Linked DNA regions of Macaca mulatta. The protein of the gene in region 1 purifies or fractionates together with the protein of each later gene. This does not show direct contact. Links are inferred from orthologs where the notes say so. Each region holds a gene or a part of one and is shown in the gene's direction. Other genes may lie near its edges.

The links.
Region 2: the proteins of CSNK2B (region 1) and NKAPD1 purify together in Homo sapiens (affinity purification with mass spectrometry; 3 studies listed by BioGRID and IntAct, counting the BioPlex papers as one, with this or other methods). This does not show direct contact. The link is inferred for Macaca mulatta from reciprocal best matches to the Homo sapiens genes CSNK2B and NKAPD1.
Region 3: the proteins of CSNK2B (region 1) and CEP170 purify together in Homo sapiens (affinity purification with mass spectrometry; 3 studies listed by BioGRID and IntAct, with this or other methods). This does not show direct contact. The link is inferred for Macaca mulatta from reciprocal best matches to the Homo sapiens genes CSNK2B and CEP170.
Region 4: the proteins of CSNK2B (region 1) and GPATCH2L purify together in Homo sapiens (co-immunoprecipitation; 3 studies listed by BioGRID and IntAct, with this or other methods). This does not show direct contact. The link is inferred for Macaca mulatta from reciprocal best matches to the Homo sapiens genes CSNK2B and GPATCH2L.
Region 5: the proteins of CSNK2B (region 1) and ZC3H4 purify together in Homo sapiens (affinity purification with mass spectrometry; 3 studies listed by BioGRID and IntAct, with this or other methods). This does not show direct contact. The link is inferred for Macaca mulatta from reciprocal best matches to the Homo sapiens genes CSNK2B and ZC3H4.
Region 6: the proteins of CSNK2B (region 1) and GPATCH2 purify together in Homo sapiens (co-immunoprecipitation; 3 studies listed by BioGRID and IntAct, with this or other methods). This does not show direct contact. The link is inferred for Macaca mulatta from reciprocal best matches to the Homo sapiens genes CSNK2B and GPATCH2.
Region 7: the proteins of CSNK2B (region 1) and DCAF7 purify together in Homo sapiens (affinity purification with mass spectrometry; 4 studies listed by BioGRID and IntAct, with this or other methods). This does not show direct contact. The link is inferred for Macaca mulatta from reciprocal best matches to the Homo sapiens genes CSNK2B and DCAF7.

Annotation. Positions count from the first base shown.
Region 1 is NC_133409.1:150,652,769-150,657,282, reverse strand, and holds the start of CSNK2B (casein kinase II subunit beta), read left to right. Parts: upstream 1-1,565; 5' UTR 1,566-1,612; intron 1,613-2,195; 5' UTR 2,196-2,206; coding exon 2,207-2,278; intron 2,279-3,226; coding exon 3,227-3,329; intron 3,330-3,892; coding exon 3,893-4,008; intron 4,009-4,450; coding exon 4,451-4,514. UniProt on the Homo sapiens protein: Regulatory subunit of casein kinase II/CK2.
Region 2 is NC_133419.1:112,831,975-112,835,749, forward strand, and holds part of NKAPD1 (uncharacterized protein NKAPD1), read left to right. Parts: intron 1-1,228; coding exon 1,229-1,329; intron 1,330-3,396; coding exon 3,397-3,546; intron 3,547-3,775.
Region 3 is NC_133406.1:5,980,991-5,984,765, forward strand, and holds part of CEP170 (centrosomal protein of 170 kDa), read left to right. Parts: intron 1-441; coding exon 442-2,274; intron 2,275-3,775.
Region 4 is NC_133412.1:149,363,095-149,367,650, forward strand, and holds the start of GPATCH2L (G patch domain-containing protein 2-like), read left to right. Parts: upstream 1-1,533; 5' UTR 1,534-1,620; intron 1,621-4,003; 5' UTR 4,004-4,013; coding exon 4,014-4,556.
Region 5 is NC_133424.1:59,592,797-59,597,228, reverse strand, and holds the start of ZC3H4 (zinc finger CCCH domain-containing protein 4), read left to right. Parts: upstream 1-1,516; 5' UTR 1,517-1,830; coding exon 1,831-1,971; intron 1,972-2,584; exon of another isoform or gene 2,585-2,995; intron 2,996-3,119; coding exon 3,120-3,415; intron 3,416-3,447; exon of another isoform or gene 3,448-3,544; coding exon of another isoform or gene 3,545-3,558; intron 3,559-4,418; exon of another isoform or gene 4,419-4,432. UniProt on the Homo sapiens protein: RNA-binding protein that suppresses transcription of long non-coding RNAs (lncRNAs). LncRNAs are defined as transcripts more than 200 nucleotides that are not translated into protein.
Region 6 is NC_133406.1:75,343,677-75,347,451, reverse strand, and holds part of GPATCH2 (G patch domain-containing protein 2), read left to right. Parts: intron 1-2,896; coding exon 2,897-3,079; intron 3,080-3,564; coding exon 3,565-3,644; intron 3,645-3,772; coding exon of another isoform or gene 3,773-3,775. UniProt on the Homo sapiens protein: Enhances the ATPase activity of DHX15 in vitro.
Region 7 is NC_133421.1:73,377,484-73,381,258, forward strand, and holds part of DCAF7 (DDB1- and CUL4-associated factor 7), read left to right. Parts: intron 1-3,338; coding exon 3,339-3,511; 3' UTR 3,512-3,775. UniProt on the Homo sapiens protein: Involved in craniofacial development. Acts upstream of the EDN1 pathway and is required for formation of the upper jaw equivalent, the palatoquadrate. The activity required for EDN1 pathway function differs between the first and second arches.

The DNA of each region.
Region 1 (4,514 bases):
GCCGCTAAAGTGACCCCACAACTTAAGACTCTGCAGGGTCTAAGGGAGAGAGTATATGCGTAAAAACACGAAACCCTACAATACCGACTTTGCTCCTTAGTAAAAATTAATCAAACTCCATGAGACAGTCGTCCAGAGGTCCTGCGTCCGGCCCCCACCCCCATCCTTACCAACAATAAATACCAGCCTCTTTCTGAAATCACTTTCTCACCCCGTAAAACAGACATACCAGTAGGAAAAAAAAAAATCAAACCTGGCCCTTTAAGTCTTCCGTGATCCCATTTCGGAGTTTCCTCTTCCCAAACAAAAATAGACGGGTCACTCCCTAGAAGATCTCGGGGAGAGGCTCCTATACGTGTTGCCGTGTAGCTTCCGTACCGCAAAATGGCGCTATTCTGATCAGCAGAGTTGACACAATCAAATAGCCACACGGCACGGAGACGCATGCGTGGCGACAACAACAACAAAAACCACCACCCACATTACTTGATGGCTCAGGCGTGCGCAAAGCTCCCGGTTCAGTTTCCCGCGCTGGAACTTTTCCAATAGTAAACGAGCAAAGCTCCGCGCGCCCAGGTGGCGCGAGCGCTAGGATCTGTCGGTTGGGGTCCTACTTTTACATAACGCCCCCACAATGCCCTTCGCCTTCCTCTACGTGGCCCCCGCTCCAAGCCCATTTTCTGGAGCTAGGAATCCACTCTCTGGGTTAGGAAAGGCCCTCAGGAGGCGGAGGGAAACCTGTGGAATGCCGAGAAGCCGTGTAATGAAATAACGTCACGCCTGCCCCTCACCATTACTCTGACCAGGGTTCGAAGGTCACACTTAGAGACTAAGGGGAAATGGAGAAGTGCAAGGGGACGAGCAGAATGGCTGGCACCACCTCAGGTTAGCGCACTGGGCCGTTCTGGTTCTCACACAGCCCAGCCCAGCCCAGCCCTCCCAACCCAAGTCCCTACGCACGGAGCCAAGCCGCACCTCTCGCCTCATGAGGCCGGAGCCCGGAGTAAAACAGAAGGCCCGTCAAGGGTCTCTGGCGGGACTGACTCGCACTAGGGGCCCAACAGGCAATAAGGACCCAGCGCATTGGCCAAGGATAGGCCAGTCCCCAGGGAAGCAGCACCGCGCCGGGACTAGAGGGCAACTGTGAGGAGAGCTGCGAGGAGGGGTCCAGCCTGGCTCCCTCCTTTCCCCGCCCTAAGTCAGCTTCTTCGCCCAGTGAGCACACAACTGTATTGCCCAGGCTCCCAGGCCCCGAACGCCATACCTGGTTTCCGCTTCCGGTGGCTTCTCGTTGCGCCCCGCCCGCAAGCGTCCTCCTCCGGGGATTCGTGACAGCCAGGTCGTGCGCGGGTCATCCTGGGATTGGTAGTTCGCTTTCCCTCACTTAGCCGGTTTCTCTCTCTACCGGGGACTCCGCGTCCCGGCATCCACCGCGGCACCTGACCCTTGGCGCTTGCGTGTTGCCCTCTTCCCCACCCTCCCCAATTTCCACTCCCCCCACCCCACTTCGCCTGCCGCGGTCGGGTCCGCGGCCTGCGCTGTAGCGGTCGCCGCCGTTCCTTCGAAGTAGCAACTTCCCTACCCCACCCCAGTCCTGGTCCCCGTCCAGCTGGTGAGTCTGAGGTCTTCGCTGCTCCTAGTCGCTTGTCGCTGGGAGCCGCACATGGGTCTCCGCACTTTGATATGGGGGCGGGGGGAGGAAGCAACCAGGTCCGGCAAGGAGGGAGAGGTGGCTTGAGGAGCGGAGGGGGGATGTGTGGAATCCGGTGAAAGGGACCTGACAGTCGCCCCCAACCCTTGAGAAAAGGAGGGGCCCGATTCTTGCTTGAGAGTGATAAACTTTGAAATCCTTGGGAAAGGCGCCGGGGTCGTGCAGAGACTTGCATTGGTACGGAGCCTGAGTCGAGGTCCCTGCCGGAGTTGACACAGAGAAGAGAGGGCCCTGGCTTTCGGGAGCTCCAGGGACGTGGGTCGGGCTGGTGGGTCAAAGTATCTGTTGGCTTCTTTCAAGTGGTGGGACCCCAAAGAATGTTTAACGTCAAAGAAAAGGGAACTGAGATGTAAATTGGAGGAGTTGGAGAGGAGTGCTTCAGAGTTTGGGATCCTTTAAGAAAGGGTGGTTCTAATGTGGGAGGAGGGAGGATACCCGAGGCAGGGAAGGAGAACTTGAGCTTTACTGACACTCTTTTTTTCAGCTGACGTGAAGATGAGCAGCTCAGAGGAGGTGTCCTGGATTTCCTGGTTCTGTGGGCTCCGTGGCAATGAATTCTTCTGTGAAGTGAGTTCTCTTCGACCTCCCTACTTGCTGGCTTCACATATCTTCCCACCAGATGTTCCTTCACGTATTCCACTTCTACACTGTTCTCTTACATACTACTTGAAAACTTCCCATCAACGAAGAGTCCCCTCAATAACCCCCGACGAACCTGTGCTAAAGTGGCAAAACTGGGGCCCAAGTTTTGACTCTGCCACCCTCCAGCAGGCAATTTGTGTCTTTTTCTTTATCTTTTTTTTGAGACTGGGTCTCACTGTGTCGCCCAGGCTGGAGTGTAGTGGTGCGATCTCGGCTCACTGCGACCTCTGCCTCCCAGGTTCAAGCGATTCTCCTGCTCCAGCCACCCAAGTAGCTGGGATTACAAGTACCCGCCACCACACCCGGCTAATTTTTGGATTTTTAGTAGAGACAGGGTTTCACCATGTTGGCCAGGCTGGTCTCAAACTCCAGACCTCAGGTGATCTGCCCGCCTCAGCCTCCCAAAGTGCTGGGATTACAGGCATAAGCCATTGCGCCCAGCCTGTATCTTTTATTACTAAAGTTGTACTGCTAGTACATGTCTCAGCTGGCTGTTAGGAAAATTGAAATGCTACGTATTGAAATGTTTTGTTCAGAAACCATGCCGTTCAGCTTCCATCCTCCTCAGCCAGCTGAGAGGACAAAACTGGTTCCTAGAGATGGAGTACAGGAGTAGGGACAGAGATCTTGAAAAGAATGTCTAAGAAAAAGATTGCTGTACCTGCTTATCCTTAGAAAAGAAAAGCCAAAGCTTTATGGGAGGGAGTATAGGTGAACTAGGGAGAGACGCAAGTACTTCTGCTGAGTTGGGAGTGAGAAACAAGCGGAACAGATGCAGTTGTGTTGATGATAAGGCATCAGTTAGAGCATTTTGCCCAGGTCAAAGATGGGGATTTTGATATGGGTTCCCTCTTGGCTTCCATGTCCCCACAGGTGGATGAAGACTACATTCAGGACAAATTTAATCTTACTGGACTCAATGAGCAGGTTCCTCACTATCGACAAGCTCTAGACATGATCTTGGACCTGGAGCCTGGTGAGGCACCCTCAGGGTTGTTTTGTGTGTGTGCATGCACTTTTTTTCTCTTCAAATCTATATTCACTTACTTGAATTTTGAAATTTCCTTTGGTTCTCTGATTTCTTTAACCCCAAATTCATGCTTTATTTTGATCCTCCACCTGACTGTGTCTAGTTTTGTGACGTATATCACTTGTTCCCATGTTTTCTAAATCCACAATTCAGATGTTTTCCAAAATATGTTTCCTCATGGGTCTGGTTTGCTATTTCTCCTGCTTTGCACCTTCCAGTCTAGAGTTTCATCTTTTGCATTGACATTGTTGCAGTTATGTATTGGGGAGGGAGCTGGGAGGGAGAGTGGGGAGCGGAGGCTAAAGAGGTGTGAAGAGAAGACAGAGCTGTCTTGGGTTGGCGCAAGGGTCAGAAGCCCAGGTTTCTGGGTCACATGCCCAGATGTTGGATGGGGTAAGGCCCAAAAGTAGGTGCCAGGCGAACTGAATAGTCCGCACCCCCTGGATATGGGCAGGGCACCTAGGAAAGCTGAAAAACAAGTGGTTGCATTTGGCCGGGCTGTGTTTCAGATGAAGAACTGGAAGACAACCCCAACCAGAGTGACCTGATTGAGCAGGCTGCCGAGATGCTTTATGGATTGATCCACGCCCGCTACATCCTTACCAACCGTGGCATTGCCCAGATGGTGAGGCCTCTCTGCTCCTAATTGCCTCCTTCTGAGCAGTAAGGGACACAGGTTCCTGCAGCAAGAAGTCATGTTTAAGCCTTGTTTAAGGAAACTGGCTGAGAAGAGGAGAAGAACCCCAGGCTTGGGCCTGGGAATTGAATTCTGATTGGGGGTCATCCTGAAGGGATAATTTTCAGGGAGGGAGACAGTCCTTGAACAGAGAGTTGTGATAGACTGCCTCTTCCTCAGGGAACAAACAACAAATGGCTCTGATGGTTTGTAGCCTGCCTAACTGGAAGAAAGGCAACATAGGAGTTTGAGAGCCCATCTGGGCCAGAGAAGGGGCCTCTGGACAGAGGTGGGAGGAGTGGGGGACAGAGTGATATGGGTTGAGCTGAGAAGGGAGTTGCCTCTTCTCTTCACACCTACCTGCCAACCCCTTCCATTTTATTCACCTCAGTTGGAAAAGTACCAGCAGGGAGACTTTGGTTACTGTCCTCGTGTGTACTGTGAGAACCAGCCAA
Region 2 (3,775 bases), on another chromosome or scaffold:
TGATGATAAGAGGTCATGAGAGTAAATGAGGTCACCTAGGAGAGCACATATAATGAAAAGAGGGCCAAGGCACCTGGTTTAGTTTTCTTCAGTAAACTACTACTTTTGGTTTGATCATATTATTACTATCATATCACCTGATTTTTAAAATTATGGGCAAGGGTAAAACTGTTACCCCAAGCTGCCTGTGCCATTATGTTAACCTGCCGCTAGTTGTATAGTAAGCTTAGATTTAAAATGGCAACTAGAAAAAGATAAATCTAGCACAGATCTAATGAAATTATGCGGGAAGACTTAGAAATAAAATGTGTTCTTGTTCTTTGGGTAATCACATTCTGCTTTTCAAGAAATTCTCTAGCAGCCATACTGTTTATTTTATTTTTGACAAAAATTATGTTATGAGAAGAGATTTATAGCTTAGGGAGTTTAAAGACCTGTCCTTACTAGTTTTTTGACTTTGGTAAAATCTCTGAGCTTTTGTTTCTTTACAGTAAAATGTAATAATGGTAGCTGCTTTATTTTCCTCATGAGATTGCTTAAAGTTCAATTGAGATGATACAATTAAAATCACATTGCATTTTGGAAATGTGGCATTATCATTTGCTAATCGCAGCATAATTGCAAAATTGATAAGGTGATGTTTATGCAGGGGTTTAAAAATTCTATTGGGGAATAATTCTAGATATTTGAGATTTACTGGATTGGACTGTTCAGCCACTTTCTAGAGAAACCAATTTGTTTTCCAGGTTCCTGATCATAGCCCAGTCTGTAGCCCAATAATTAGTCAGATTGTATTTTCAGTTAGTTACTTTTTTTTTTTTTTTTGAAACCAAGTCTCACTCTGTAGCCCAGGCTGGAGTGCAGTGGCACAGTGAGACGGAGTTTCGCTCTTGTTACCCAGGCTGGAGTGCAATGGTGTGGTCTCGGCTCACCGCAGCCTTCGCCTCCTGAGTTCAAGGATTCTGCTGCCTCAGCCTCCTGAGTAGCTGGGATTACAGGTGCATGCTACCTTGCCCGGCTAATTTTTGTATTTTTATTAGAGACGGGGTTTCACCATGTTGGTCAGGCTGCTGTCGAACTCCTGACCTCATGATCTGCCTGCTTCGGCCTCCCAAAGTGCTGGGATTACAGGTGTGAGCCACCGCGCCCGGCCAGTTAGTTACTTTTCTGTAATGTAAAGTTATTTTTAGTAACTTATTTTTATTTCTTTCCTTTTCAAAAATTCTAGATTCAGGAGGAATCAGATATGTGGAAAATAAGAGAACTGGAAAAACAGATGGAAGATGCTTACCGGGGGACCAAAAGGAAAATGCTACCCAGCAGTTCAAGGTGAAGTTGCAGCTCTGAGAACTAAAATAATTCTCATCTTTTTCAGAATCATCAACTTTTGTTTAAAAATACTTTGGTATATTAAGGATAGATGAATTTAGTTCTGTGAGTCCTTAAGCCTTTCCTCTTTCGTAAATCTAGGCATAAAGATAATGGCTATGATGCATATGCCCCCACTCTCTGTACTTATTTACAATGGAGAGTTAAAAAATTCTCCCTGAACAATTATGAATGTGTAGGGTTCTGTGGTTTCTAACCTTACCTGATAGCTTTTAACTTAAGATTTTCTACTGGAATCTTGTGGTCACTAAGCTGATCAATCATTCCTTTCTCTATTAATTTTTCATTCTTTCAGGCTTTTCTTTTTGTAGCTGGGACTGCAGGTGCATGCCACTCTGCCTAGCTATTTTTTTTTTTTTTTTTTTTTGTAGAGGCAGTGTCTTGCTGTGTTCCCCGGGCTGGTATAGAATCCTGGGCTCACACAGTCCTCCCACCTCAACCTCCCAGTGTTCGGATTATAAGCGTGAGCCACTTGCCCAGCCTCAGACTTTTCTTCACCCTATGTATTCACCCTCTTCACCAGATCAACAGCCTTTTCACATTACCTTAATAGCTTGAGTGTAAATATGAAGGATTATGCAAGGTTAGTTGTGTTTTCCTTGTGGAGAGGCCTAGGAATGCTTGAATAATTGGGAACATCCTTATATGCTTGTAAGTGTAAGAGCTACATATATAAGAAATACTTAAACTCTTTAGGAGCAGGGCTTGTGATTTTCTCATTTGCTGCTGTATTCCTGCCCGCTAGACCAATACCTGGTACATAAGAGGCCCTTACAATTTTTTTTTTCTTGAGACGGAGTTTCGCTCTTGTTACCCAGGCTGGAGTGCAGTGGTGTGGTCTTGGCTCACTACAGCCTCCACCTCCTGGGTTCAGGCAATTATTCTGCCTCAGCCTCCCAATCAGCTGGGATTACAGGCACCTGCCACCATGCCTGACTAATTTTTGTATTTTTAGTAGAGGCAGGGTTTCACCATGTTGGCCAGGCTGGTCTCGAACTCCTGAGCTCAAAGTGATCCACCCGCCTAGGCCTTCCAAAGTGCTGGGATTACAGGTGTGAGCCACTGGGCCTGGCCCCTTACGAATTTTTGATAACTGATTAGCAGCTTACTGGCTAGTTAGTAGAAGTGGTAAACAGAAGCTGGATCAATGGTTCTCAACTTTTTTCCTACTCAACTATTCCCATGGGTTAGACCTTGTTCCCACTGTTATTGGGACCTCTCTATAGTAAGTTGCTGGTTTGCACAGAGGGAAGTGTATTTCAGAATCTCTAGGGTAGTTTGAAGTGTCCCTAGCTATGATTATGTTCTGCTTCCCTCTTTGCATGCCTTCCTAGTTGAGAATCAGCGAGTGAACTATCACATGACAGTCCAGAGTTGATTTCATCTCTCTATGCTTTGCAATAGGATGTGTACTAATGGTCAGATTTTTTTTTTTTTCCTGAGACGGAGTCTCACTCTGTTGCCCAGGCTGGAGTGCAATGGCGTGATCTGGGCTCACTGCAACCTCTGCCTCCCCAGGTTCAGGCAATTTTCCTGCCTCAGCCTCCTAAGTAGCTGGTACTATAGGTGTGTGCCACTACACCTACTTTTTTTGTATTTTTAGTAGAGACAGGGTTTCACCATGTCGCCCAGGCTAGTCTTGAACTCCTGACCTCAAGTGATCCACTTGCCCTGGCCTCCCAACGTGCTGGGATTACAGACGTGAGCCACTGCACCTGGCCTGGTCAGATTTTTTTCCACTGGACTTTACAAATGTACAGAGAGGAACAGATAAAGTGCTGGGATTAGAGGCATGAGCCACCACACTAGGCCTGGTCAGATTTCTTCCATTGGACTTTACAGATGTATAGAGAGGAACAGATGTCTTTACCTTTTTTTTTTTTTTTAAACAGTATCATGTTGTTTCCTTCCCCCTCAGCTTGTTCCATGAGTTTTATGCATGATGTTCCATAAAGTAAACTCACAGATTGCTTTTACATCTAAAAGTTCTTCTGCTTTCTCTTTTAGCCGGATGCGCAGTGATGGTTTTGATGAAGAAAGTCAAAGAGACTATTGGAGGCCAAAGAATGAAATTTCTGGGACACTGGAAGATGATTTTCTTAAGGCAAAATCCTGGAACAAGAAGTTATATGATTATGAAGCTAACATGCCAGACAGGTTTGTGATTAATTCCTGTGAGCATTAATATTTGGCCTGAGAATGTGTACTTATCAAAATTAATTGTCCCCACAAAAAACTTGTGTACAAATGTTCATACCAGCATTATTAATAATGGCCCCAAAAAATAATGGCCAAGTAAATCCAAATGTCTGTCAACTGATGAATGGGTAAACAAAATGTGATACATCCATACAATGGAATATTATTTGGCAGTAAAAGAAATGAA
Region 3 (3,775 bases), on another chromosome or scaffold:
TAATGTAATATAGCTGGCCCTCTGCATCCATAGGTTTTGTATTAGTGAGTTTTGCATCTGTGAATTCACCTGAGGACTGAAAATATTTGAGAGGGAAAAAGAAATGATCGCGTCCCCACCGAACATGTATAGACTTTATTTTTTGTACTTATTCACTAAGCAATACAGTATTAACAACTATTTACATAGCTTTTACATTGTAATAGGTATTATAAATAATCTAGACATGATTTAAAGTATATGGGAGGGTGTGAGTAGGTTATATACAAATACTACATCACTTTATATAAGGTACTTAAGCATCCTTGGAATTTGGTATCCTGGGGGAAGAAGGGGTCTGGAACCAGTCTTTGTGGATACTGACAGACAACTGTAGGGTGCTCCTTTTATTTTTATTTTTTTGTCTTAGCCAATTCCTTCTTTGTGGTTTTTATTTTATAGAGACAGAGATCAGTGAGTCTGGCATGACAGTGAGAAGTACTGGCTCTGCAACTTCCTTGGCTAGCCAGGGAGAGAGAAGGAGACGAACTCTTCCCCAGCTTCCAAATGAAGAAAAGTCTCTTGAGAGCCACAGAGCAAAGGTTATAACACAGAGGTCAGAGATAGGAGAAAAACAAGACACAGAACTTCAGGAGAAAGAAGCACCTACACAGGTATACCAGAAAGATAAACAAGATGCCGACAGACCCTTGAGTAAAATGAACAGGGCAGTAAATGGAGAGACTCTCAAAACTGGTGGAGATAATAAAACCCTACTTCACTTAGGCAGCTCTGCTCCTGGAAAGGAGAAAAATGAACCTGATAAGGAAACTTCTTTGGTAAAGCAAACATTAGCAAAACTTCAACAACAAGAACAAAGGGAGGAGGCTCAGTGGACACCTACTAAATTGTCTTCCAAAAATGTTTCAGGTCAGACAGATAAATGTAGGGAGGAACCTTTTAAACAAGAATCACAACCTCCAGAAAAAAATTCAGGACATTCTACAGGCAAAGGAGACAGAGTGGCACAAAGTGAGAGCAAAAGAAGAAAAGCTGAGGAAATTCTGAAAAGTCAGACTCCAAAGGGAGGAGACAAGAAGGAATCCTCCAAGTCATTAGTGCGACAAGGGAGCTTCACTATAGAAAAACCCAGCCCAAACATACCCATAGAACTTATTCCTCATATAAATAAACAGACTTCCTCTACTCCTTCTTCTTTAGCATTAACATCTGCAAGTAGAATACGAGAAAGAAGTGAGTCTTTAGATCCTGATTCTAGTATGGACACAACCCTTATTCTAAAAGACACAGAAGCAGTCATGGCTTTTCTAGAAGCTAAACTACGTGAAGATAATAAAACTGATGAAGGACCAGACACTCCCAGTTATAATAGAGACAATTCTATTTCACCAGAATCTGATGTAGATACAGCTAGTACAATCAGTCTGGTTACTGGAGAAACTGAAAGAAAATCAACCCAAAAGCGAAAGAGTTTCACTAGCCTCTATAAAGATAGGTGTTCCACAGGTTCTCCTTCCAAAGATGTTACAAAATCGTCATCTTCAGGTACTAGGGAAAAAATGGAAAAGAAAACAAAAAGTCGTTCCACAGATGTGGGTTCAAGAGCAGATGGTCGTAAATTTGTTCAATCCAGTGGGAGAATAAGACAGCCTTCGGTAGACCTAACCGATGATGATCAAACCTCTAGTGTACCTCATTCTGCCATCTCTGATATTATGTCATCTGATCAAGAAACTTACTCCTGTAAACCTCATGGACGGACTCCACTTACCTCAGCTGATGAGCATGTACATTCCAAACTGGAAGGAAGTAAAGTAACGAAATCTAAGACTTCTCCGGTAGTATCTGGTTCATCCAGTAAATCGACCACCCTTCCAAGGCCACGACCTACCAGGACTTCCCTCTTGCGCAGAGCACGACTTGGTGAAGCTTCAGACAGTGAACTTGCCGATGCTGACAAAGCATCTGTTGCTTCTGAAGTATCCACAACAAGTTCTACATCAAAACCTCCCACAGGAAGGCGTAACATCTCTCGGATTGATTTATTGGCTCAGCCTCGTAGAACACGACTTGGCTCACTGTCAGCTCGTAGTGACTCTGAAGCAACAATTTCTAGAAGTAGTGCCTCTTCGAGGACCGCAGAAGCCATCATTAGAAGTGGAGCCAGATTAGTACCATCAGATAAATTTTCTCCTAGAATTAGAGCTAACAGTATCTCTCGACTCTCAGACTCCAAGGTCAAAAGTATGACCTCAGCTCATGGCTCTGCTTCAGGTAAATTGGATCCAGATTTCTAATAGCATTAGCATGTTGTATATTTTGGGGTTCCTTTTTAAAAAAAAAAAAGTGTCTAGTTGTCTTCCCAAGATACTCGTTCAAAACAAAAGTTATGATATATGAGGTGGCGGGGGAGGTTCCATGAAATAGTTTTATGTAGCATAGTAAATGGAAAAGTCAGAAGTTATATATACTTCCAATTAAAGTCCTGGGGCAAAATAGTGATTTCAAAATTAGGAATTCATTGAACTGATTTAGGAGTTTTAATTCTCCAGTTGGTGATATATTTGGATGTGTGTGTGTCAAAATTAGATTATCTGGCATTATCTGGTTTAAAGTATAGGAATTAACATTGTGCTTCTAAAAGCGTGTTTAACCTTTAAATATCCTCACGTATTTCAAAGCCCTTAAGAACTTGAAGAAAAGCAGCGTATGCTTTATTACTTCTTTCAGAGTTAAATAATCAATGTTTTGTTCTTTTTTTTCCCTACCTATTTTGAAATGTCTCACATACTTTACCTATACTTTTTAAAGTTAAATCTGTTTATAGTTGGAGCAGGTGAAAACTAACCCTTAATTTATTTCAGTGGAAGAAGATGGATTCATGGGGAATCACTCAGCATATATTGGCCAAACTGGGCTGTAGAAATTTAACTGGTTATGAGCATTATCTCAAAAAGTGCTGTTACATTGTTTAACTCTAGTAATTAGGTGTAATTGAATATAATAACTACAAAAACTACTTACTCTCCACCAGAATTTAACTGATGTTGTTATATTTGTTTGCTTACATACTTTGTGTTCAGAGCTGAAGCCATTGAGAGACATGTGTGACCAAAGAGTCATGAGGTGGATATTTGTTTGTATCCTGTAAGCCTGTTCTCATTACTTCATAATGAGCCTCCTATGTGGGCGTGGCTGCAAAGGCCAGTGTGGGAGGCCAGCTGTTATAACAGGCTTGCAGATGCGTGATGATTTTCAGTAGGCAGACATCTCAGTGAGCCCTAAGTCTTGAGTTAAAAGTGGAGGGGAAGTTGATAGGAAATTTCATCTTTTTATTTTTGATTGGTTTACATCTACCACACTATATCCTACAAGACCCTAAAGGAACGGTACTTTGCATATGATACTGTTTTCACTTTTCTTCCTCTTTTCACTGCTGCTTTCCTCCACTCCATTCACCTCTCTCTCTCTGCTGGTCAGTGGGTTTGCTAATGATGGTCACTGTCTATGGTAGAAATGGATGTAGGCTGAAGCTGGATAACATATAATCATGATTCCAAAAAAAAATTAGACAACATTTTCCTTATTACCCCAGTCCTCATTTCCACACTTGAAGCTTTGGTTGGTGGTTCATAAATTTATTGCCAAATATTTTAAAACTAACTATTTTGGTTTTTTTTTTCATTCTGTTGTTGCTTATGGCTCTACTTCTTCAATTCACATTTCATCTCTGCTGCATTTCCTGAAGAAATTTCTTCTGCTATACTCCGTGTTT
Region 4 (4,556 bases), on another chromosome or scaffold:
GGTTTCACCATGTTGGCCAGGATGGTCTCGAACTCCTGACCTCAGGTGATCTGCCCACCTCAACCTCCCAAAGTGCTGGGATTACAGGTGTGAGCCACCGCACCCGGCTATTCACTCTTACAGAAGTATAACACACGTCACGATTGCAACCAAAATTGATACATTATTATTATTATTTTGAGACGGAGTTTTGCTCTCATGACCCAGGCTGGAGTGCAATAGTGGGATCTCGGCTCACTGCAACTTCTGCCTCCAGAGTTCAAGCGATTCTCCTGCCTCAGTCTCCTGAGTAGCTGGGATTACAGGCACGCACCACCATGCCCGTGTAATTTTTGCATTTTTAGCAGAGACGGGTTTTCATCATGTTAGCCAAGATGGTCTCAATCCCCCGACCTCAGGTGATCTGCCCGACTTGGCCTCCCAAAGTGCTGGGTTTACAGGCATGAGCCGCCTCGCCCGGCCCGATAACGTTATTATTAACTAAAGTTGATACTTTATCCAGATTTCCTTAGTTTTTACCTAATGTTCTTTTTTTAATTGCAGTGTCACACCCAGGATACCGTATTACATTGTCATGCCTCCTCAGGCTTCTCCTGGCTCTGAGTTTCTTATACTTCCCTTACCTTTGCTGATCTTAACAATTTTGAAGAATACTGGTCATGTACTCTGCAGAATGTCCCTCAATTAGGGTTTGTCTGATTTGTTTCTTATAATTAGACTGGGTTATGAGATTTGTTAGGAAAGTAGCATAAAGTGCCATTCTCATCATATATCAGTCCACATACTATCAACATGATTTAGCACATAGTCTTGATCACCTGGCTGAATTACTGTTTGCCAGGTTTCCCCACTGTAAAATCACTCATTTTCCCCTTTACAGATGTTGTACTTTTGGGAAGGAAGTCACTATGCACAGCCCACATTTAAGGAGGTGGAAGTGATGCTCCAGGATGGCTGTCTACATAAGTTATTTGAGATTCTTCTGTGGGGGATTTATCTCTTCTTCCTCATTCGTTAATTTATTCAATCACTTATTTATATCGGTATGGGCTCATGAATATTTCTTTTATACTTTGAGTTATAATCCAATATCACTTGTTTTATTGCTCAAGGCAATTTGTAATGTTCTGAGTAACTCAGTGAAGAACCACCCCTCCCAATGTTTGTACCAGCTCACAGGGTAGACGTCATTAAGATCCTTTTCTCTTCAACTTCATAGGCCCATTAAAAAGGTCAGAAAGCAAGGGGGAAGCTGACACCCCTGCCTAGCGCCCAATTTCTGGACGCCCCTAAGGAAGATGAGGCCAGCATGCAGGGGTCTTTCCCCACATGGGCACCTCAACCCGTGAAACGCCCTTTCCCGGCCAGACCTTACTCAGCACCCCTCCTTGTCCCCTGCCCCATCTTCTGGCTTCCTGTGGCTCCGCCCACCACGGGGCGGAAGTGGGTGTGGCCACGGGCGGAAGCAATGGGTCAGGGGCCCAATCTTGCAGCCAGCCCCTCCCACTCGCCGCCGCCCCACCCCTCCGGCCCAGACCGGAAATGAGGTCAGAGAGGGAAGCCCTGGCGGTGAGAGTCGGCCCAAAAAGCGGCGGCCGTTGGAGGTGGCTGCGGCAGCTGGTGAGGGGGAGGAGTGGTTTTAGTGTTGGGGTCCTGGGGGCTAGTACCAGAGGGGATCGGAGCGCCAAGCCGCGGCTGAGCGGCTAAGGGCGTCTTGGGGCTGCGGCAGCTGGCCGGAGGGTGAGGGTGGTGGGGTCTTGCTTTTCAGGGCCCTTGTCCCCATCCCTGGGGATGTGGGTCGGGCCGTCTTCGGGGCCACAGCCCCCTCTTCCTCTTTCTTCTTTCTGCCTCTCTGGGGCTGGCGGCAGCGTGAGGGCTTGGTGTCCCGAGCCATGGTCGCCCCAGCCCTCAGGGACGGGCCGGGGCGAGGTGGAGAGTCCTTCGAAACACAGTTTTTCTCACATATGTGGCCGTGTTGCGACCCCCGATCCCGGAGGGAGCTCAGTCGCCACGACTTGCATTTTTTCAGTTTCTGCCCTAGAAGAGCCGACCCCCGCCCCTGGTGAGCCCAAATGAGAAGTTGCCTCCTGCCTCTCCCACCTCCTACTCCGCCCCTCACTTCCACCCTGCTCCTGTTTCTCTTCTTACTTGCTGTCCACCAGCTGCCCTACCCGTTCCTTCCTGTGCGTGACTCAGCCTCATCTCTACCCGGGTGCGTGCCTGGACGCCGGGTCCTCTCGAGAGTGTGCACCCGCGACTGGAGATGGGGGGAGCCCTAGGGTTCTTCTGTCACCCACTGTTCGAATTACAGGCTTTGAGGCAGGAAAGGATTCTGCACAAGCATTCGACTACCAGTTGTTTGGTGACTTCGTTCCGTGTTCAAGTTTGTGCTATTCTGCCTGAGGTTTTTATTTGTTATTATTATTATTTTTTTGTATTTTAGTTGCCTGAGTTTTTAAAGCAGTAATTCTTTATTAGGGAAGTAGATTTAGGCATGCTGTTCCCACTTGTTTCTTTATTTTGGTCTTAGGGACAGTTGTCTCCCAAACCTCAATCATGGCATTTTAATCCACTTTTTTTTTTTTTTTCCATTTTTTCCCCTTCTTTTCACAGCTGTTAATAAATCACTTCTTAATGCTTAAAAGAACTTGGTCTTGTTTAAATGTATGTGCCTTTGGACACTTTGAGAAGCTTCGTTTGTATGGTAGTTTTGGAAGTAGGTGTCACCATTGCTCCTACAGGTGTGGCAGATAAGCCCCAGGACTGTTTTCCTGTCTTTAAATTCATTGGCATAGGCACAGCGTGAAAACAGGTTTTAGAAAACCCTTTGCAAAGTGAAAACTGAATGAATGGGAATATGGTGAGAGAGCGGCACCACATAGAATTTTAACATGATATTGAAATACTTTGGGCATAGAGGCAAGGGAAAAGTGCTAAAAGTTTAATGTGTATTTAATTAGCTGCTATACAAATTAAACATTTCCCCTTAAGAGGGAATTTTGAAGATTGTTCCTACTACTCTCATTTGTTGAAATGTTTGCCTCTGAAGTGACTCCTGAAGTGTGATGTTTGGTTTGAGGATAAACAGAAAAATAAGAAATTTTGGAAAGCAGTTCAGCCAGAAATCTTAGAAACTTCACCCTATCCCTGTCATTTCAGCTGCTGTTGTATCCTATTTTTGTGTGATTGTGTGGCACTGAAGCACATAACTAGGACGGACATTCGGACATTTATTTTCTGAAGAGTAGGAGAGGGGCTTAAAAATTGTTAATTATTCAAAAATATATGACCTACTGTATAAGGTTCTATACCTGGTAGCTTCCAGGTGGTAGTTGGTACCAGAATGGGTGCAAACTTAGTCTCTTCTCCATTCTGACTTCAAACCTGGCCACTACAATTTCTTGGATCATGAAAACTGCATTCTTCCTTAAAGGGTATCACTAAGTTGTCTTTCTGTTTCTTTCTGCCATGGTCATTGTCAGCAGTGACCCCAGGCCAAAGAACAGTTTTTCATTCATTCTCAATACCTCGATGAGACCGTGTCCTGCTCTGTGTTTCTGCAACTCTAGTGTGATTTTGAAGTTGTATGTTTTTCTACTCCTGTCTAGTGAGACAGTCTCTAATCTTTCTGGATCTCATCATTAGGTAATTCAGTGACAAGTTTAACTGGGGAAAAGTGAGAAGGATCTAGTCCCCCGAATTTGTTTTGGGTCCTGTCCCAGTTGTCATCTGGTGAGTAGGTTTTTGTGCTTAAGAATATGTTGACTTCAGGCGTTTAACAAGGGACAAAACATCTATTTTTAGTGGCTTTAGGAAGTGGTAGGAACAGAATCTAAGTGTAGCCAGATGAAAGGTGACTTATTTCATTTAGACAGGCAGTACTGTGGACTACCATGATCTGTTTCATCAAATTATTCCGAAACAACAGATCCTTTTCAGGCTTTCTTTTTCTTTTTCTTTTCTTTCCCCCCCCCCCACCCCCCGCCAAACTTCCTTTTGGCAGATGTGGCCTCATGGATGAGCTGGTACACGACTTAGCCTCAGCCTTGGAGCAGACATCTGAGCAGAATAAGCTTGGTGAGCTGTGGGAGGAGATGGCCCTGAGCCCCCGGCAGCAGAGGAGGCAGCTTCGGAAACGCCGAGGTCGGAAGCGTCGTTCTGACTTCACTCACCTGGCAGAGCATACCTGCTGCTACAGCGAGGCCTCTGAGTCAAGTCTGGATGAGGCCACTAAGGACTGTCGAGAAGTGGCTCCCGTGACCAATTTTAGTGACTCTGATGACACAATGGTGGCCAAACGACACCCAGCTCTCAATGCCATTGTTAAGAGTAAGCAGCATTCTTGGCATGAATCTGACTCCTTTACTGAAAATGCACCTTGTCGACCACTCAGGCGCAGGCGGAAGGTGAAGCGAGTGACATCAGAGGTGGCTGCTAGCCTTCAGCAGAAACTGAAGGTGTCAGATTGGAGCTATGAGAGAGGCTGCAGGTTCAAATCTGCTAAGAAGCAGCGTCTGTCCCGCTGGAAGGAGAATACTCCCTGGACCTCATCAGGC
Region 5 (4,432 bases), on another chromosome or scaffold:
TCTGCCTCCCAGGTTCAAGCGATTCTCCTGCCTCAGCCTCCCATTTAGCTGGGATTACAGGCGTCCACCACCACGCCGGGCTAATTTTGTATTTTTTAGTAGAAACGGGGTTTGGTCAGGCTGGTCTTGAACTCCCAACCCCAGGTGATGCACCCACCTTGGCCTCCCAAAGTGCTGGGATTACAGGCGTGAGCCACCATGCCTGGCTCTATTTATTTATTTTTTTATTGATATGGAGTGTCGCTCTGTCACCCAGGTTGGAGTGCAGTGGTGCCATCTTGGCTCACTGCAGCCTTTACCCCCTAGGTTCAAGCAATTCTCCTGCCTCAGTCTCCCGAGTAGCTGGGATTACAGGCGCGCCACACCATGCCTGGCTAATTTTTTGTATGGGTTTCGTCCCATTGGCCAGGCTGTCTCAAACTCCTGACCTCAAGTGATCTGCCAGCCTCGGCCTCCCAAAGTGTTGGGATTATGGGTATGTGCCACCACGCCCTGCTGCCAGCTGGAACATTTAAAAAATAGTAGGATCAATATACCAGGAAGTCACATGGTGCCTCTGTCTCCAGCTTTATCAATCTTGACGAGGTTTTTCTCTCTTCCTGGAATCTAAGTGGTCTTTGCTTTGTCAGGGCCTGAAATAAGGTATTCTTTTCTTTTTTTTGTTTTTTGAAACGAGAGTCTCACTCTGTCGTCCGGGCTGGAGTGCAGTGGTATAATCTCAGCTCACTGCAGCCTCACGACCTCCCCGGCTCAGGCGATTCTCCCTTTTCAACATCCCAAGTAGCTGGGACTACAGGTGTGAGCCATCATGTACTGCTAATTTTTGTATTTTTAGGAGAGAAGGGATTTTACTATGTTGGTCAGGCTAGTCTCCAACTCCCGAGCTCAAGCGAGCGATCCGCCCGCCTCGGCCTCCCAAAATGCTAGGAGTACAGGCGTGAGCAACATCGCCCCGCCTGAAATAAGGTATTTCTTCTGCTTGGAACCAGCTCTTCTTTTTCATATACCAGCCTAAAGAGCAATTTCAAGACTCTCCTCTAACACTCCACCCACCCCCTTTATTCTTTAACTCTGTTTCTCTCTCGGGGCATTGTCGGTTAAGTTCCATGAAGACAGAAACTGTTCCCATAGTCCATCACAGGGACTGGCACTGTAGAAAGAGCTAACAAAAGTATTTAAGGAAGATCCCTGGATTCGAGGTTAGAGGGACGTATGATCGTGTCACAGCACTGCAGTCTGGGCGACAGAGCAAGACTCTGTCTCTTAAAAAAAAAAAAAAAAAAAAAGGCCGGGTGCGGTGGCTTTCGCCTGTAATCCCAGCACTTTGGGAGGCCGAGGAGGGAAGGTCATGAGGTCAAGAAATCGAGAACCACCCTGGCTAACACGGTGAAACCCCGTCTCTACTAAAACACACACACACACACACACACAAAATTAGCCGAGCGTGGTGGCGGGCGCCTGTAGTCCCAACTTCTCGGGAGGCTGAGGCAGGAGAATGGCGTGAACCCAGAGGCGGAGCTTGCAGTGAGCCGAGATCGCGCCACTACACTCCAGTCTGGGCGACAAAGCGAGACTGTGTCTTAAAAACAACAACAACAACAAAAAAGTCTTGCTGTGCTCTTTAGCACTAATCCTATGACGTTGAACCAATTACTTAAAACACCTAACTTCAGTCTGCAAATGGGAATTGCAGCAGCTTATTTTAGGACGGTTATGAGAGTCAAAAGATTTTGTTTGTACACAGCCTATGACACCGGCCAGTGTTTCTATCTCCGCTATTTGTGAGCCTTCTCTGGGTCCTCCTACACCCCAGGTCCTTAAACTCCCCTGATGGACTACCAAGCCCCGCCCCTCTCTCCTGCAAGGATGACGTCATCGACTGAGTTGTCGAGTGACGTCACCTCCGGGCTGGCTGGGCTTCATCGCTTCTCCGGAAACCTCCGACTCTCGGCACCTGGCCTCCAGCTTTCGGTTATTTTTTTTTTTCTCTCCGTAGCTTGAATTCCTTCCCTCCCATCCTCCCACCTAAAACTATCGGCTCTTCCCGCCTTCCTTCAAACTAGCAATTTTCGGTTCTTCCCTCTTGCTCTCGGGCGAATTCCTGAAAGTCGTTTATTCTCTTAATTAATCGCCGCTCCAGCCCCGCCCGTTCAGCTCATTCTCTTAATCGCATTACCCTGGCTGCTTTTCTTTCGGCTGTTTCCACCTCCTGCCACCCACCCAGACACCGCCTTCGGCTCTTTCCGGACCATCTCAATTTCTCCTCCTTCCCCGGTCCCAATCGGCTTAGGCTATTTCTGGCTCCCCTAGGTTTCTCATGCTCTCTCTAGCCCCACCCCATCACCAGCTTCGGCTCTTTTCGGCTCTCCCCCGTCGCCTCCTGTCTCCTGCTCAGCTCTTTTCGGCTATTTCCGCCTCCCCTCGGACTCACCCTTTGCCTTCGGTTCTTTCCGCCGGCCCTCAGGCAAGCGGTCTCTACCCCTCTCCCGCACGTGACGCGGCCTCCGCCTCCGCCTCTCAGTTCCCCCTCCCACCTCACCCTTCCTCCCGCCTCAGCCTCTAGGCTGGTCCGGGCCGAGCCGCCATTTTGTGTCAATTCCTGATTGCGGCGGGGGCCGGGCAGCCGGGAGACCAGTGGCGGGCAGACAAGGGAGACAGTCGGCCCGTCTCCGCGGCCCGTTCCCTCTCTCCCTTCAATCCTTTTTTTCTTTTTAACCCTTCCACCCCCTTCGCTGGCTCTCCTCTTCTCCCCTTACCCTTCGCTTGCTCCATCGCGCGCGGCCCGCGCTAATTACACCCAACCACCCACCAGTGTCCGAGTCTCCCGGGTCTCCCGCCCCCGGGCCCGCGGGGGTGCGTGGGGGGGGGGCTCTCGCCCCTATGAGGGCCCCGCGCCAGTAAGCGAGTGACCGCAGGGGTGGGCTGCGGAGAAAGCAGGCGGCGAGCGGCCCTCCGAGGCCTAGGCCGCGCGGCCTACGCGGAGGTCAGCGCAGAGGTGATTCCGAAACCGAAAAAATATATACCCCATTCCCATCAGGAGCCCTCCGAGCTTAAGTGTGCCCCTCCCGCCACGCCCAAGCAGTCCTTTTTCGTGCATTAACATCCCCTCCCCCCCAAAGGAACTATGGAGGCCGCGCCCGGGACCCCCCCGCCGCCGCCATCAGAGTCGCCGCCGTCGCCATCGCCGCCGCCGCCATCAACGCCTTCGCCTCCTCCGTGTTCCCCCGACGCCCGCCCGGCCACCCCGCACCTCCTCCACCACCGCCTCCCGCTCCCTGACGACAGGTCAGGCCCCCGGCCGGGCCGGGGCTGCGTCCCCGGGGGGAGGAAGAGGAGGAGGAGGAAGGGGGGCGGCCGCCATGTTGGGCCGGGCCGCGGAGGAGGAGGAGGAGGAGGAGGAGGAAGGGCGGGGTCGGTGGGTGTCTCTCGATCGCTTGCTCGCTCGCTCTTTCTCGCTTGCTTTCTCTCCTGGCCTCATGCGTTTCCCCCCCCTCGCGGCGTTCGCCCGCTCTCCCTCGCTCTCGCTCTGTCTTTTTTGGGCGCCATGCTGAGGGGAAGGTGAGGAGGCGCCCCTCGGACCCCCCGCGCCCGCCCGCCCGCCCTGGGGAGGGGGCGCCGGGGGGGGTGCTGCGGAGGCCCACGGGGGTCCTTGGCTGCCCCTACGCCCGGAGCTGGCAGCCACGGGCCCGCCTGCTCGTCGCCTGGCTTCGGGGAAGGGGATGGGGGAGGGGCTCCGGACCCTTTTTGGGGGGATCTCGAGCAACAGCCCCGCTCTTAGGGGTTTGGGGTTGGGGGTCTCCCAGCCCCCGGCAGTATCCTTTCTCCTGGGGGAGGCACACCCTACCCTACTTGGATGATAGGTATCTTAGCTTAGGAGGCAGAAAGTGGGGGTTCATTGCAGTCCCTTCTCCATCCTTGTAATGGGGGGTCATTTGGGTGGGTGCTTTATAGCACTTTTATTTTTTGGCGGGAGGTGTTTTGTAGCTATTCCCTAGAAGGCCGAATTGGGGAGTGGGGGAGATGCATCTCCAGCCCTTTTGATGAAAACCCCTGCCTATTTATTTAGAGAAGATTCTTACCCGTGTTTTTGTTAAAGGGCAGGGGTTCTCTAGCTTTTCGTAGGTAGGTGACGTGAGGGAAGACTAGCAGCCTTGTTTTGTGGGGGTAAGGTTTGGTTTCCCTGCCTTGTAGGGAGAGGAAGTTGGTCCCGCGCTTTCTCGTGGGGTTCCCCCCTCTGTCGGGGTAAAATGGGGCACCGTCTCTTCCGGGAGAGAGAAAAGGAGATTTCCTTGTGCTTTGGCAGGGCGTTAAAGGAAGCGCCCCATTCCCTTTATTAAGTGCGAAACGCGGCGCCCCCCCCCCACGCCCTTCTCTGGCTGGCGGGTGATAATGGGGTCAGCCCGGCGCGTTTCAGGGCGAGGTTGGGGCCCCG
Region 6 (3,775 bases), on another chromosome or scaffold:
AGAAACCAGTTCTTATTCTCTACCTAATTCCAAATGTACTTAAAACTGTTTAAGCATTCATAAAGGTGGATTTCCAAGTCATTTGTCATTTTTATTCAACTGTGACATTAATTCATTCTATCCAGTTTGTAAGTAATTAGATGATTTTTATGAATTCAATATTGTAAACCATTAAACAGAAATGTCTTGCAACTTATATGTTTTCCATCTTTGAAACTTCGGGAAGCTTCAGTCATTAACATGGCAGTATTTTGAAGCTATGAAAAATTTAAAACACCCTAATAAGGGGCAGGATTAATCCTTAATAGGATTAATTTCATTTAGTCACACCTGTTCATGATTGTTTCCCTTTTTACACTCCACACAAATCATGAAATTAATACAGACAAATACCTATCACAAACGTTCTCTTCCTTTCTTAAGAATACATTAGAGGAAGACAGTAAGTTCCAAGTGAAAAACACTAACATAAATTTTAAATTATAAATTTATTTAATGATGTTATAAGAAAAGGACAAAGTAGTAGCCGCCTACACTTTTTTTCTTAGTCTGTTCATCCTTTTGGCAGTACAAAAAAACGTAAATGAAGTGATCATTCTTTTCTGCCTACTTGTAAGCTATTTGTCTTAGATGAATAGGTACATAACTATTTGAAAGGCCGTGGACTTGGAAGTTGATACTTTGCTGAAATATGTTAGAATGCTGGGGCTAAATGCGAGGGTAACTACTTTGATAATATACTTAAATTCTCATTAAAATACAGATCTTTCCTCAGGATTGTATTGTAAACATGATATTGGTAATGAAATAAAATGAAAAAAATATAAAAATAACTTTGACAAGCCTATCAATCTTTGATAAGGGTGGAAGGGCTTACAATGATATGCCAGCATTTACTGTGAACTTACTATGTTTCACATTGCTAAGTGTTTTTCTTGCATTTAAGTTCTTAATTAATTCTTAAAATCCCTTTGAGATTCCCAGTTTTTTAAAATGAAGAAACTGACTCTAATAGAGTAGAAGTAACTTCCCTGGTGTTGCAGAACACTAGAATTCTAATTAGTCTGTCTGACTTCAGAGCAAGTTCTTAACCAATGACTATTTGATTTCCCTATTGAAGAATAAAGTTGTGTATTACATCAAAAATAAAATAACTTTATTTTTCTGTAATAGTGTTGGAATTCAGATATGTAGTAGTCAGTTTCAAGTGAGGCCCTGTTTTTTCTTATGCTTAAACCTGATCTGTGTAAGTTTAATATAAAGCTCAGTAAAAGTCCTGATATCTAAGTGCTGTTAATTGTGTTTTTTGAAAAAAATTTTTTTATTAATTCCCCAATAGAAACAAGCTGGTGACTCTAGTTTTTGAAATGCCTTTAATTTTTGATTCCATCTTAGTTGAAATATAGCTATTTCTCATAAAATAATTTTCAACTGAAACTTAAGAGTATTTTTAGTTTTCCTTTAAAGACGTTTGTTGAAAGAGATTTTAGAAATCAGAAATATCTCTCTCTAAAGGGAAACAGTTTATGACAATCATGATGACCCTCTTAGAAACCAGAATTAGTGGTGGCTTCTCATAATCAAGGGAAGGAGACTTTAATGAATCTCAGATCATCTTCAAAATGCTATTTGTTTCTTTCTGTTTTTCTTTTCTTTTTTCTCTTTTTTTTTTAACACAAGGTCTCGCCCTGTCATCCAGGCTGGAGTGCTGGTGGTACGATCGTAGCTCACTATAACCTCAAACTGCTGGGCTCAAGGGATCCTCCTGCCTCAGACTCCCGAGTAGCTAGGAGTACAGGTGCATGTCACCATGCCCGGCTAATTTTTAATCGTTTTAAAATAGGGTCTCGCTATCTTGCCCAGGTTGGTCTGGAACTCCTGACCTCAAATGATCCTCCCACTTTGGCCTCTCAAAGCACTGGGATTATACACACGAGCCACCATACCTGGCCTGTCTCTCTTTCTTTTAAAAGCCATCTGTCTTCTGTATTTTTGTCTCTTCATAACTACTTTTTCTTCAAAAAACAAAATACTGATTCTCCCCTATGGCACATTTCAAACTGAATTTTCAATTGATCATTTATTGTTCCATGGTTACACTCATGGATGTTCCCAAAAGTCAGAATTATTGGATAGTGTTGGGCAAAAACATCTCACTTATTTAATATACTTTCTTCATAAACTCTAAGGTATTGTCACTTTTCATTCAAAATCAACTTTTTCAAAACTATTTCTTAATGAGCTTAATGGGATTAATTTCATTTAGTCACATCTGTTCATGATTGTTTCCCCTTTTATACTCCATACAAATCATGAAATTAAGCTAATTATATACCCATATCTGCTGCAAAGCAAGGGTTCTACAGTTTTAACACTTTTTAATTCCCGGGAGCAGATTAAGGTTTGTTTTTTCTTAATGTGGAAGGGGTAGTAACTTAAATGGATTTTCTAATAGGTTTTGCCAAAGGATTAACCAGCTTATTATTGTTTTTCACATTTTAAAATTGGTTCGAAAACATAAAATTTTGTGTTTTTATTGCTGACAGTTTCTTACAGTCTTAAGATAATATTTCTTAGGTAAAGCTGTGGTATAAAATAAAAAGTTTTCCTTATAGATTATATATGCAGTTATCAAATAAAACATAGGATCCCCAATTAAATTTAAATTGTAGGTAAATAACATGTAATTTTTTAGTACAAGTATGTCCCATGCAGTACTTAGACATATTTCCACTAAAAATTTAATGCAAGTATTGTATACTTATATTAAAAGTTAGTCATTGATCTTAAATTCAAATTTAACTGCCATCTTGTATTTTTATTACGTAAGACTAATTGTGTAACTGGATGATAAAACTGAATCTTTGGTTGGGGGGGGTTTCTTGTATTTATACAGGTGATGATGAACAGAGTGACTGGTTCTACGAAAAGGAATCAGGTGGAGCATGTGGTATCACTGGAGTCGTGCCCTGGTGGGAAAAGGAAGATCCTACTGAGCTAGACAAAAATTTACCAGATCCTGTCTTTGAAAGTATCTTAACTGGTTCTTTTCCCCTTATGTCACACTCAAGCAGAAGAGGTCAGTAGCATTGGCTCCCTGGTGGATATAATGGGTTTAAGGTCAATCTAGGAATATTCATTCAAAGAGGATAAGATAAAGTGGAAATTAGAGAATATAAAGACAAGATGCTGTAAAGAAGTATATTGGCCACTAATATAGCTACTACATTTATCATGCTTTCAAATTATTTGAAAAATTGACTTGCTTTCTTGCTAGACTTATTGAGAAAATGTTGAAATGATAGGAACATGAATTGGGAGAAAAGAAAATGGGTATTTATTACTCTAGTGATTAAACACTGGTTAGTTAAGGGCTGACTGCATTAGTACTTTGCTAGGTATTGCTCCAGTTTCTTTAAGTGTGAGTTTTGCATTTTCCCAAATAATATTCATGGCATTCACCGCCACCACCAACTTACTTTTCATTCTCTATTGATAGGATCTTCTTCTTCTATGCTTCAGCGATCATAGAAAACTTCTAAATTGAGTACTTTGATTTTCCAGGTTTCCAAGCTAGACTCAGTCGCCTTCATGGAATGTCTTCAAAGAATATTAAAAAATCTGGAGGGACTCCAACTTCAATGGTAGGCATACTTTTTTTGTGTAATTGTCATGTTTGGAAATGTTTCCATTTCTATGGAATAAAAAGCCACATCCTCATCCTTTATTCATATTCTAATGTTAAACTTAAAAATAATCCATTTTTTTGTAGGCT
Region 7 (3,775 bases), on another chromosome or scaffold:
TCATGGATGTCACAGAATCTTTGGGACTGCGAAGATCAACATCTCCATGGGACCTTTCAGGTTTCACTTTAACAAACCGACAGTGAGCTCTAGACACATCGGAGGGCCTCACAGAATTTTGCCTGGTTGTGGTGTGTGACTTGTGGTTTTCATTTCACTGTTTCCCAGACCAGAGCAAGCATCCCTTACTGGCCAGGCGCAGTGGCTCACGCCTGTAATCCGAGCACTTTGGGAGGCTGAGGCAGGTGGATCACCTGAGGTCGGGAGTTCGTGACCAGCCTGACAAACGTGGTGAAACCCTGTCTCTACTAAAAATACAAAAAAAATTAGGCATAGTGACACACAGCTGTAGTTCAAGCTACTTGGTACTGAGGCAGGAGAATCACTTGAACCCAGGAGGTGGAGGTTGCAGTGACCAGAGATTATGCTACTGCCTTCCAGCTGGGGCAACAGAGCGAGACTCTGCCTCCAGAAAAAAGAAAAAAAAGAGTACCCCTTAAAAATATGTTGGGCCAGGCACAGTGTCTCAGGCCTGTAATTGCAGCACTTTGGGAGGCTAAGGTGGGAGGATTCCTTGAGACCAAGAGTTCGAGACCAGCCTGGACAGTATAGTGAAACCTCATCTCTACAAAAAGTTAAAAAAACTATCTGGGTGTAGTGGTGAATTGCTATAGTCCTAGCTACTTAGAGGCTGAGGTGAGAGGATCCCTTGAGCCCAGGAGTTTGAGGTTACAGTGAGCTATGATTGTGCCACTGCACTCCAACCTGGGCAACCAAGGAAGACTCTGCCTCTAAAATAAATTTTAAAAAAAGAAAAGAAAGGCCGGGTGCAGTGGCTCATGCCTGTAATACCAGCACTTTGGGAGGCCGAGGCAGGTGGATCATGAGGTCAGGAGATCAAGACCATCCTGACCAACGTGGTGAAGCCCCATCTCTACTAAAAATACAAAAATTAGCCGGGCATGGTGGTGTGCGCCTGTAGTCCCGGCTACTTGGGAGGCTGAGGCAGGAGAATCGCTTGAACCCAGGAGGTGGAGGTTGCAGTGAGCTGAGATCGTGCCATTACCCTCTATCCTGGTGACAGAGTGAGACTCCATCTCAGAAAAAAAAGAAAAGAAAAATATGCTGTTTGTCAATGCACTTTTATTGTAGAAATACTGCGAATCTGATATTAAAAATGAAAACAGTACAGAGGCATATTTAGAGCAAGGTGAAGGTCATCTTTTCTCCTTGCTATATCATTTCTGCCTCCATCCCACTCTGCATAGATGACCTCTGTCAACAGGTAATGTATCTCCTTCCAGACCCTTTTGGTATACATTTGGGGGTGTACATCCACGCCCTCAAATACAACTATATACCTCTTCCTTTTGCACTGAGAGGATTCTGTCCTAGCCCTGTGGTGGTTTACTGCTTAACTTTTTTAGTGTGTTTTTTTTTCTTCTCCTCACTGATCAGTAGCCTTATAATGGACAAGATTCGTTATGGAGTCCAAGAAGCAATGTACTGTGGTGTTTTTCTGCCATTTGAGCATTATTTGGAAAGCATGAAGCTTTTCCTGATTTTGGCCCTCTGCTCATGCCTGTATATCTCCTTGAAGAGCAGTTGGGGGCCTGCTGCTGCCTTCTGTACCTCAGATTGTGGTTTGTCTTCTTCATTATTGCCTTTTTTTTTTTTTTTTTTTTTTTTTTCCAGCGGTGTGGATAGGGAGGGATAGAAGAAGCAGAAAAGAAAGGTGTCATCCATTATTCATGGAAAGTAGGACTGGCCCCATAGAAGCCCCATTTTCTGCTCCTGGCTTCTCCCTTTGTCCGGCTCGCTGTTTTGTGTGTTGCACCTGCCTTGAGCCCCTTCAACCGAAGGAACTGTTGCTCAAGTGTGCTCAGTTGAGCATTGAGGAAAAGGGGCTTAGTGCTTTAGAGGTGCAATTCCCTGACCTCTTGGCATTGATTATCTCTGGGAGAGGGATCTTGCACCTGGCCCAGATTATGCGGCCTTGGCAGGAGACTGGTATTGCCCACAATTGACCTATTAGGGTTTAGTTTATTCAGATTTTCTGTGTATGTGAGACCAGCTTTCATCAGAATGTATGGCAGAGTCAGGGTACACTGCAGCTCTGAAGGCCATTGCCTTTTTTTTTCTTTTTTTAAAATTAACTTACTATTTTGATTATAAAAGTAATATAGGCCGGGTGCAGTGGTTCATGCCTGTAATCCCAGCATTTTGGGAGGCCGAGGCAGGAGAATCGCTTGAACCTGGGAGGCGTTGGTTACAGTGAGCTGAGATCGCACCATTATGCTCAAGCCTGGGTGACAGAACAAGACTCCATTTAAAAAAAAAAAAAAGTTATATAAGCACATTACGGATCACTTAGGAACTAGAGAAAAGTAAACGTAACTCCTAACCTTGTCATCTTAGTATTGCCATCATTCTCATTTTAATATATTTCCTTCTAGTCATTTTTCATGTGCTTTTATATATTTAAGGTGATTACCATCTTTCTGGTGTTTCCCATAGCTATTTTCTTGGATTTTTTTTTTTTTTTTTTTTTTGAGATGAAGTCTCACTCTGTTGCCCAGGCTGGAGTGCAATGGCACCATCTTGGCTCACTGCAACCTCTGCCTCCTGAGTTCAAGCGATTCTCCTGCCTCAGCCACCCGAGTAGCTGGGATTACAGGTGTGCACCACCACATCTGGCTAATTTGTAATTTTTTTTTTTTTTTTTTTTAATAAAGATAGGGTTTCACCATGTTGGCCAGGCTGGTCTTGAACTCCTGATCTCAAGTGATCCGCCTGCCTCGGCCTTCCAAAGTGCTGGGATTACAGGTGTGAGCCACCATGCCTGGCCAGGAAAGAATTTTTTAACAGCACATACCAACACTACTTTGTCAGTCTTCTTCTATATAACAACTCACTGAAGCATAAATGCCCATCAAACAGGGAAGAAACGCTCTCATTATATTGAATGATCAGGAAGGATCTTTATAACCACTCAAGTATTTTAAGTGGCTACAAATGACATGTTTGGTATCCCCTTGTCCACTCCTGATACCTGACCCAGATGAGAAGGACTCATTCGTGCAGTGGATAGAGCCTGGGGACATCTGGGAGATGGAGTCAGGGCCTAGATTTGAGTTCTGGCTCTGCCACTCACTTGGCTGAATAGCGCCTTAACATTTCTGAATCTCAGTTTCCTCATCGATAAAATGGGGGCTTAACATAGAACCGCCGTCACGGGGATGCGTGCTTTGTAAACTGTGAATTGCTCCTGAAATGCAGGGATCATCATCCCCATTGCCTCACTTGTGACCCTGCTTGCTGGCTTTCTTTGTCCCTAGCGGATGACCACCAGGCTCTCATCTGGGACATCCAGCAAATGCCCCGAGCCATCGAGGACCCTATCCTGGCCTACACAGCTGAAGGAGAGATCAACAATGTGCAGTGGGCATCAACTCAGCCCGACTGGATCGCCATCTGCTACAACAACTGCCTGGAGATACTCAGAGTGTAGTGTTGGTGGCGCTGTGCCCACGAGGCAGGGGCTTTTGTGTTTCCTGCCTCTGCCCCACCCCCAAAGTAAGAAGAAACATGTTTCCAGTGGCCAGTATGTCTTTCATTGCTTTGCACCCACTGTTACCAGAAGCTGCTCTAGGAGTTCCTGGCCAGTCACCCCATCGCCCTCTGTGGCAGACTCAGTGCTGTGTGGCGCCTCCTCAGCCCAGGGCTGAGTTTTAAGATTTTCTCTCCTTTCCTCTTCTTCTTTGGTTCCTCAATT